Solanum lycopersicum: one gene and its partners. The protein of the gene in region 1 interacts with the protein of each later gene in a pairwise test. Links are inferred from orthologs where the notes say so. Each region holds a gene or a part of one and is shown in the gene's direction. Other genes may lie near its edges. The genes, in order: TCP21, abscisic acid receptor PYL3 and abscisic acid receptor PYL2-like.

Region 1 (3,186 bases):
GATTCTTTTAACATTTATATCGTCATTAAAAAAAATAGTAAGAAATATAATTGCAAAAGAAGATGGTTTTGAAGTGTCTAATTGCGTTCTTTAAAGAGATATTCCTCATGTAAATAGTGGGTTAAGTATAAATAATTCCATACAACAAATCGTTTTGTTTATTACGGAGATCTTTTTTAGTTTACTTCCCGAAATGCTTTATATTAATAAAATTTCAGAGGTGACTCTTCCTAAAAGTTATATTCTTTAATGAACAAATAATTTTTTATAAATATCATGTAATAATTTTTTATAACACTCAATCATAATTTTTTATTTTTCATGTGTTTGTTTCTATTAATAATTATGTGGGAAAATCGGGCAGAATAAAAGGAAAGAAATCCAAAGAGCAAGAGAACCTAGCAAAGAAAATAACAATTGATAGATTTAGATTTTATTCGTCATGTGAAGCCCATTATTGAACTTCACACTATTTTTTTTCACAATTTAGGGTTAAATTATCAAAATAAATATCTTTAATTATTATATTATAAATTATTTCACCTAAAAAATATCAGGCATCAAAATAAAATAACATCAATATATTAAGCTCTAGTTTGATCTTTGTCTTGTCAAACTTTTTACCTAACATAATTTTCTTAGAGTTCTAATTAAATTTAGTTGGCGTTTTGGCCATGTGATATAGTATCGTGAGATGAAATCAGCATTTAGACATATGATTTTATGCTGATTACATCTCGTGATTTCATATAATGAGATTTGATATCATATTCTTCAAAAATCATGGTATAGAATCATATGAGAATACAATATCATGATTTGAGTTATTTAAATACAAAAATTAATTCACGAATTTATATTTTGTTCAAACAACCCCACATTTCTATATACTAACTATTATTTCACATTTAAATAAAATTTATAATCACGTCATAACGTTTTAAAATTTATTAATTTCACTGACATAAAAAAATTTAATTCTCATCAACATAAGTCACTTTAACTCACACTTCACCAATATAATTTCACGTCATGTTTCATTTTAACTCAAATATATTGATGAAACAATTAATTAAGTGAAGAACAAATAGTTTTGCAATAATTTATTATACAATTTTATGATTTTTATTTATTTAATAATATAAAATAAATAATTAAAGCTATTTTAACAATTTTAGAATTTATGAGATTCTTATATTTATATTAAAAAAAAATACACAACATTAAAATTCTATATCATATGTCCAAATAAAATTTTTAATTTCGTCGCGTAATTCTATATTAATTTCTCCTTGTGTCAATTTTCATTAAGTACACAGTGGGGTACTGTAGTTATTTCAATCCTCCTTTTTTATTTTTTTAAGCTCTAAATTTTTTTGGGTTTCAGCTATTTGCAGCTGTGTTTGGGATTTTTCTGAAAAATGGCGAGGGTTGAGAACAACCAAAACATTGAACAAGAAGATGACGAGGTGAACGACTGTAAGATTGATCCGTTACTTGGTGATTCTCATGAATACACCATTGCAGCGGTAGGGAATGTCACCGATGCGGAAGGGGTGGATCCGTCTCCGGCGGCGTCCACTGATAGGGTGCTGTTGTTAAAGGAAGAACCGGAGGAGAATGATTTGCGAGTTTCTACGTCGGTTGGGATGAATATGCAATTGCAGAAGGTAGAGAAACAACCGGTGAAAAGATCCTCAAAGGACCGGCACACGAAAGTGGAAGGCCGTGGTCGGAGAATCCGTATGCCGGCGGCTTGTGCTGCTAGAATCTTCCAATTAACGCGGGAACTAGGTCATAAATCGGAAGGTGAAACTATAAGATGGCTTCTAGAACGCGCCGAGCCAGCCATCATTGCCGCTACTGGAACGGGTACGGTTCCGGCCATCGCGGTATCAGTAAACGGAACGCTGAAAATACCGACGTCAAACAACGAGGGAGAAAGCTCGAGGAAGAGAAGGAAAAGGGCTGCAAATAGCGAGTTTTATGAGGCGTCAAATTTTGCACCGGTGGCTCCCATTGCCCCACAAGGTCTTGTTCCTGTTTGGCCAGTGGGCTCTGGGAATGGACTTATTCCCACCACAGCATTTACCGGTGGGGCAACTTTCTATATGCTACCGCCAGGCACTAATACAACAGTTGCTGCTACTGGGGCTCAGTTGTGGGCCACTCCAATACTTAATGTACCTTATGCAGCAACAGGGGTCTCTGCTGCTTGTGTGTCAAAAAGTGATAACAATGGAGGCAAGTTAAGCACAGTTGCTTCAGCTATGCCTCCAAGTTCTAGTTCTACACAGATGCTTAGAGATTTCTCACTGGAGATTTATGACAAGAGAGAGCTTCAGTTTATGGTTGGTTCTGGTTCCAGTGAAATTGATCAAACTTCCTCATCTAAATCCTGATTAGGGTTCTAAGACCCATTAATTTATCTTTTTTTGTTAATCTCTTCTGGATAAGCATCTAGTTTTTTCAAAAGATTATTTTAACATTTTGCTTGTAAGCATCTAGGAAAGGAAGTTGCTCTGCTGTGACATGGGTTCGTCAATGTTAAATGTCAACTTGCTGTTTTCTTAGTTTTGGGGCACTCAACTTTTTCTTTGCATTATAGTGCTTGTTAATGTGCTCTATCCATTAGTAGTTTTTTCTTAAAAAAAAAGTAAATTTTGTACTAACATAAACTCGATCCTTTAGAAAATGTTTGTCATGTTCAATTTGACTAATTTTTTGATCATATTAATTCGATATTTTAAATAAAAAAATTAGATATTCTAAAACTATATGAAAAGTACTATAAATTATAATTTTTTACATATTAATATGATGAAAAAATGTGTTAGTCAAAGTTTTTATAGTTTGACTCTAAAAATAGAAATCATGACAAACAATATCGGAAGAGAAAGTAATATATAATATATATTTTCAATAAATAAAGAATACATATAAGCTATTTTTGTAACTGTGTATGTACTGTGGTTCTTATCTTTGGGTCCATTTGGCCCGTGCACTTGGATTACTTCATAAATTACATGTGACTTTAGAGTAGGGCCCACTAAAGATGGATAGAGGGGTGTGGGTCAATGAATACTAGTCAATACAAAAATTTAATTTTTTTTTTAAAATATGGTTTTTTAATTCAAAGGCTATGATTATTAATTAAATTCTCTTGATAAATAAGAATGGTAAATA
Region 2 (3,764 bases), on another chromosome or scaffold:
TTTAATGATGGATTAGCAGTGGATTAGTAATTGTGGATTCTTTTATGTATGGTTTCACCCTAAAAAAAGAGTGAAGTATGTATTTGAGGAGATAATAATTCAATTTTAAAATATTTTTATTATTTATTAAAATAATATTTAATTTGATCTGAATATAATTAAAGTTGATTGTCTAATAAAAATATTTATCTCTAAATGAAAATTTTTAATTTCACTTTAAAGTATTTAAATTCATCGAATATCGAAGAACAAACAGATCATTGTATTAATAAGTGTAGGCTAACGACTTATCCGATTGGAATGAAGAAAATGATTGACTAGAATCCAAATGTTAACAGGATAAAATGTTTTGATAATGCATCTATTTTATTTTATGAGATATATTTCTTCTATACTTAGAATAATTTAATTTTGAATTCTTTACTTTAATTTATTCTGACATAATTTTATAATGGAATCATGCAAATATCATAAATGTTTTGAATTATATAAATTGCAAGAATTTTATTCCTTTTGTTTTACACTGAAATTATATGGTAGATAATCCTAACGATAATCCCAGTAATCATAATAATTTGATTTCGAACCAAACTATACAATTCATTCGTCTTTTTTAAAGTTCGTTTTAGAAAAAAATATATTTTTAATTCTTTTTTCATATGATATATAATTAAAATCAATAAGATTAAATAACATGATATTTTTTTCTTTTTTTTTTGAATTCTTTGAATAATCGGAAGTTGCTATAATTTCTGTCATTTCTATCCGACAGACTCGACTCAAAAGTGTTGAGTGAGGATCAATCCCGAGTCATCCGCGTGAATAACCACCTTCAAAATCAACTAATCATCTCGAATGACATATGAAATGTAAATCGTACTAGATAAATTCTATGTGACAAAATCAACTCAGAAAATATTGAGGGAGATCAATCTCGAATTATCCGTAGGGATAACCACCCTCAAAATCATCTGAGTCATTCCAAAGGACATATATTTTTAGTTTATAGACATAAAATTAATTTTTTTTTTCACTTTTTAAAATTTATGTCAATTCAAATAAAATAAATAAATTAAAATAAAAGAAAAAACAAATAATCAAGATACTTTAAAGCCGACAAGGGCACAATATTATTAATAAAGATTTTAACCAATTACTTATCTTATAACATCAAATATATTATTCTAAAATAACATTATCAATTTCTACTTTTGTAAAAAGTAGTTTTCTCCATTTTAGATCAAAATGTTAATTAAATTTAGAAACTTAATACCTACCCCCCACCACCAAAAACCCCACTTGCACAAATTATCTTAATTATTTAAATTACAAAAAAATAATAACAATAATGGAGGTTTATAGATGTGGACGAGAAAATAAAAATATATATAAAAAAATAAAATAACCCATCAAATTTAAACCACTCAAAAAATTATTTCGAGGTTCTAATGGCGGTGTCTTTTGGCTTTTTCTAAATTAATTTTTCTCATTTTCCACCCTTTTTTTTTCCAGATTTATTCGCCGTCGACGAGGTTGTCGGTGCCGTTGTTTTTTCTCCGGCGATGGTCAGCATCATGAACGTTGATAGAAAAATTAGTAGTGAAGATGAGTATATTAGGAGACATCATAGACATGATGTTAGAGATAATCAGTGTAGTTCATCACTTGTAAAGCATATTAAAGCTCCTGTTCATCTTGTAAGTAACCCCAATTAAGATTCTTGAAAAAAAGTTTGAATTTTTATGTTTATTTTCATTTGTTAAGCATATTAGAGCTCTTGTTGATGTTGTAAGTTGCCCCAAGTTAGATTCTTAATCAAAAAAGGCGGAATTTTTATGTTTATTTTCATTTGTTGAGCATAATATAGCCCCTGTTGAGGTTGTAGGTAGCCCCTATTCAGTGTATTGAAGAAAAAAGATTGGATATTTATGTTTATTTTGAGATAATTGATGCAACTTCTCACTTGTTAAGCATATTGGAGCTCTTGGTGATGTTGTAAGTTGCCCCAAGTTAGATTCTTGAAAAAAAAATGACTGAATGTTTGTGTTTATTTTCATTTGTTAAGCATATCAGAGGCCTTGTTGAGGTTGTAGGTAGCCCTTATTCAGTGTATTGAAAAAAAAGATTGGAATTTTATGTATATTTTGAGATAATTGATGCAATTTCTCACTTGTTAAGCATATTGGAGCTCTTGGTGATGATGTAAGTTGCCCCAAGTTAGATTCTTGGAAAAAACAATCTTTATAGTGTTTTCCGATAACATAGATTATGGATTTTAGTTTTCACAATAGCTGTGGATTTGAGAGAAAAGAGGGGTTGGTTACTGAAAAGAGAGCTCCGTCTTTATCTGTTGAGGAAGCTAGTTGCAGAGATGCCTTGAACTTTTCTTTGGACAATGTATTTTAAGCTGTTTATGAAAGAGAAAAAAAGCAGTGAGTTTGAAACTATTCAAGACGTTTGATTGTTTTATTACTTCATTTCATTGATGTTCTTCGAACTGTTCAGGCTTGTCAATTGATCACTGGAAAAGATTGAAGTAAGTAGACTATTTTGGATTTCTATGGTTTACATGTATTGTATCTAAAGACGGAAAATGGATGTACCATGTATGTTTTTTTGTTTTGAGAAAGGTAACATATTTATGTTTTCTTCACTGGGTACTTACTGGGTTTTGGTATATTTGATAGGTTTGGTCATTAGTGAGGAGGTTTGATCAACCACAAAGGTACAAACCATTTGTTAGCAGGTGCATCGTGCAAGGGGACCTTGAAATCGGAAGTGTTAGGGAAGTGAATGTTAAGTCCGGACTCCCAGCTACCACAAGCAAGGAGAGGTTAGAGCTTCTAGATGATGACGAGCACATTTTTGGTGTAAAGATCGTAGGTGGAGATCACAGGCTTAGGGTATGAGTCTTTTATCTCATCGTTTGATATGTATTGAATATATCCATAACTTTTCCCTCGTAGAATCAACCATGAAGCGTGAAGTATCAACAAGTGACCTATATAGTCAAGTTATTGCTCTATTTATTCATGAAGTCTTTCTTGTGATCTTTTTATTTTATTTCCCTCTTTTTGTGTGTATTTGGGTTTGGGGGGTTGGGGGTATTTTGTTGGTTGTTCACTTTGGATTCTTAGGCTCGTCACCATATGTTCTGTTATTATCCCGGGAAGGAAAAACAAGAGATGATGGTGACTGTCTTAATTTTTCTTCACATTACTTGCAGAACTACTCATCAATTATCACTGTTCACCCGAAGGTCATTGACGGAAGGCCTGGAACAATGGTAGTCGAGTCATTCGTGGTGGATGTACCAGATGGGAATACTAAGGATGAAACTTGTTACTTTGTCGAGGCCCTCATCCGGTGTAACCTCAAATCACTAGCTGATGTATCCGAGCGCTTAGCTGTGCAGGGCCATATGGAGCCTATCGACAGAATGTAGGTTAACAGCTTCATCATTTTGCCAAGCGTGCAAGGATTTGATTAGAAAGCGAGTAAGAGTGACTGGTACTTATGCCGGTCCTTCTCGATCTCAGAAGTATATATATCTTTATCTATATATACATATATATATGTTCATGCTTCCTCTTCATCATCTGTAAGGTCATCGCGGTTTGTAAAATGCAATCAGTCTATTTCATAATGTGAAGAACCAGCCATGCTGTTTGTGGCTGTGCGTGAATTGAGCTTGGGTTGTAAACATCTATGCTCATTAAGGTGCTGTTTCTTGTTATAGGATCATTGTTGTGTGGTTATGACAC
Region 3 (3,401 bases), on another chromosome or scaffold:
TGTTTGGCTAACTACGATGGAATAGAGCCATTCTGAGTAGAACCCCTTCTTACGATATGTCAGAGCGGGATCAGTCATGTAATAGCCCCCAGCCCTTTCCTTACGATGATTCATGCCTTGCTCGTGCCGTAAGAATGTCGTATGCAAATGAATTCACTTTTGGTATAGAATAAATGGGCGAAAGCCCGATGCAGCAACTTGCGAGGGGTTGTGCTTTGCTACTTGCTTAGGTTTCCATCTATTGTATTTATCTAAATGGGAATGAATTCGTCCGGCGGGTCTATCTAAGAGGGCAAAGCGGTGAGCGTGAGAATAATTTTTGATTTTCGATGTTTATATTAAAATATAGTTAAATTTAGTAATAGAAAAGTGTGTAGTACAATTATAATTATGTGCATATATATAATTATGTGTAGTTCTAACCTATATATATCTTTTATTGATGAAAATATTACTCGTCCATTTTGATTCGTTCAAATTTAACCTACCTAGCTAATTTGACACCCCTAACATCATAGTGTCACATATGTCTCCGAGCCAAGTCCTAACCTAGAGCATTAGTTGATCTGCGTGATGAGATAAGCAAGAATATTTCATGAGATTATTTTATCTCACCTTCTTTATGAGACAATAAAATCGCTATTTCACTACAAATAATGTGATAAACAATCACAAAATTAACTAATATCTCCAATTAAATATGAAATAAAATTATTTTTTTTCAAAATTATTATTCTTTATCTCACGTATCAAACGACCGTCCAATAAAAAAAGTTGTGGGTAGGGTTGAATGCTGCAAAGTTGAGTTTTGATCACGCGAATGTGTTAAACTTTGTCACATGATCCTCGAATATACAGCTTTGCTATGTTTTTTTTTTTTTTTTCGATATTTGATATTTATTTTATATCTTAATTTAATGTAAATTTACGTCATATATATAAAAACTCGATTATAATTTAAAGAAATGTTCTTTACCAACAAATTATATCCAATCCTAGTATGAACTCGGAGTTTTTAATTAAAAATTTAAAAACGAGTTAATTTCTTAAATAGTTACTCGATAACAATTAATATCTCCGAAAGTTATTAAACTTTGTTTTATGACATAAAAATCAAAAATCACTCAATTAATGTTAATTATCTCATAAAGTCGATTAATTATTATTATTTCACATATAAAATTATATGCTTCATGCACGGAACTGCCTACGAAACTCTAATAAATAAAGCTAAACAACCCATGCCACATGTATTTTCCCTCTCATCATAAAAAGGAACCCTATAACTTCTCTTCCTATCTCCCAAAGACCAAAAGAAGGATAAAACAATTTGCCATTTTTTTCTCCATTTTCAATCAATCAAATTTGTGAATTTTTTTTCTCTTCGAGAACACTCGTATCGTCGATTCTTCAACCCCGTTCCTTAAATGGATGGTGATAGACAATTATTAGTTCCGCAAGGGCTAACACAAGAAGAATTTGTTGAGTTGGAACCATTGATTCGAAATTATCATACTTTTGAGGATTTACCAAATACTTGTACTTCTCTTGTGACGCAACGCATAGACGCGCCCGTCGATGTCGTATGGCCATTCATCCGTCGTTTTGATAATCCCGAGAAGTATAAGCACTTCATCAAAAGTTGCAGGATCGTATCAGGTATGTAACTATTTCATCTAAAAGTTTAAATTGACGTTATAACACATATATTATTATAAGTGATTATTTTGTTACATATACTATACTTCAAATTTACCTTTCACCTATAGACAAGCGAGACTTATTCTAGTGGTTAAAGTAAATATTATTAATCTTCTCGATGAAAAAAATCTCTATGTATGAAGATCATTCATTTTCCTGGTTCAAATCAAATACAAATAAAATTTGTCCAAAAATATTATAGTGATAATACATATACTTAAATTATCTTTTATTTATAATGTCAAAAATTCGTTTTTTATATGTTTAATCATCATAACATCTCTCATCAACCAAAGTTGCATTTTTATACAATAATTGAAATATTGTATAAGTAATTGATCCTTCTTAAAAAAAAAAAAAAAGTGGCGAAGTCACATGTACTTAACTTACATTACGTAGCTAAGTATGTTATATATATATATATATATATATATATATATGTTGACATCGGTCTTTTTGATTTCTTCGTGAATTTATTTCTGTTTGTGTATATACATTTTATCATTTAAAGTAAAATATTAGACCAACTATTTTTTTGTTATATTTTGACGTTTGTTTAGTGAAAATTCTGACTCGATCACTCGATACAGGTGATGGCGGAGTTGGTAGCATAAGAGAAGTAACAGTTGTGTCAGGAATACCTGCATCAACAAGTACAGAACGTCTAGAGATATTAGATGATGAAAAACATATTTTAAGTTTTCGAGTTGTTGGAGGTGAACATAGATTGACAAATTATAAATCAGTAACATCAGTAAATGAATTTAAAAAAAATGGAAAAATTTATACTATAGTTTTGGAATCATATATTGTTGATATTCCAGAAGGGAATACTGGTGAAGATACAAAAATGTTTACTGATACTGTTGTGAAATTGAATCTACAAAAACTTGCTTTAGTGGCAATGTCTACTATGCATGGTCACGAATAATTAATCGCGATAACAAAAGGATTCAGGGTTTAAATTTGATTGTTTTGTTATTTTCTTTTACTAATAAGTATGGTGTTTGGGGCGAAATGTGCTTCCTTTCATCAGAATAGGTATCGAATAAGATTTGATAATTTTTATGTATTGTAACAGTTACGTAATTGTGGATTTGATTTTTTGAAATGTTTGTTGTATTTTTGTAATTCTTGAAATATATACATATATCTATGGTTTATTTGTGAAATATATATACGTTTGTATTCGATTCAAAATTCTTTAACGATATTGACAACATCTCTTATATTTTATATTTTATGAATATGATTTATGTATAGTTTACTTTTTCCAAATTTTTCTTACGAAATATTACTGAATATATTAATATCGTTACTTTTTACCGCAAAGAAAAAAAAAATAACTTTATGTGAATGAAAAGCTGGCAAGATACCTTATAAATGGTTTGTGTATACTCCAACCTTAAAGGGGGGAAATTATTGTTGAACTACTCTACTACTTTTTTAATAAATGTGAGGGGGAAAAAAGGAGAGAAATAAATTTTTAAAAATATACAAAAATAAATAAATAAAGATAAATATTAGTGTTGTTACCATTGAGAAACTTGTGACTTACACCTTACAACATGTGATATTAAAATTTGCTTTATTACTCACTTATTTTCTTTTAATTTTTACCTTGTTTGAAATTTGACTAAAAAAAATAATTTTAAAATATATATGTATACATATGTGACTAGAAGAAAGCAATTTGAATA

What was found.
Region 2: the proteins of TCP21 (region 1) and abscisic acid receptor PYL3 interact in binary tests that used the Arabidopsis thaliana proteins (3 or more experiments, as listed by UniProt). The link is inferred for Solanum lycopersicum from reciprocal best matches to the Arabidopsis thaliana genes AT5G51910 and RCAR1.
Region 3: the proteins of TCP21 (region 1) and abscisic acid receptor PYL2-like interact in binary tests that used the Arabidopsis thaliana proteins (3 or more experiments, as listed by UniProt). The link is inferred for Solanum lycopersicum from reciprocal best matches to the Arabidopsis thaliana genes AT5G51910 and PYL2.

Annotation. Positions count from the first base shown.
Region 1 is NC_090802.1:2,189,778-2,192,963, forward strand, and holds TCP21 (TCP transcription factor 21), read left to right. Parts: upstream 1-1,380; 5' UTR 1,381-1,421; coding exon 1,422-2,402; 3' UTR 2,403-2,570; downstream 2,571-3,186.
Region 2 is NC_090807.1:67,225,224-67,228,987, reverse strand, and holds the start of abscisic acid receptor PYL3, read left to right. Parts: upstream 1-1,162; 5' UTR 1,163-1,562; coding exon 1,563-1,697; intron 1,698-2,687; coding exon 2,688-2,903; intron 2,904-3,226; coding exon 3,227-3,445; 3' UTR 3,446-3,764. UniProt on the Arabidopsis thaliana protein: Receptor for abscisic acid (ABA) required for ABA-mediated responses such as stomatal closure and germination inhibition.
Region 3 is NC_090811.1:67,277,304-67,280,704, reverse strand, and holds abscisic acid receptor PYL2-like, read left to right. Parts: upstream 1-1,252; 5' UTR 1,253-1,427; coding exon 1,428-1,659; intron 1,660-2,291; coding exon 2,292-2,632; 3' UTR 2,633-2,873; downstream 2,874-3,401. UniProt on the Arabidopsis thaliana protein: Receptor for abscisic acid (ABA) required for ABA-mediated responses such as stomatal closure and germination inhibition. Inhibits the activity of group-A protein phosphatases type 2C (PP2Cs) when activated by ABA. Can be activated by both (-)-ABA and (+)-ABA.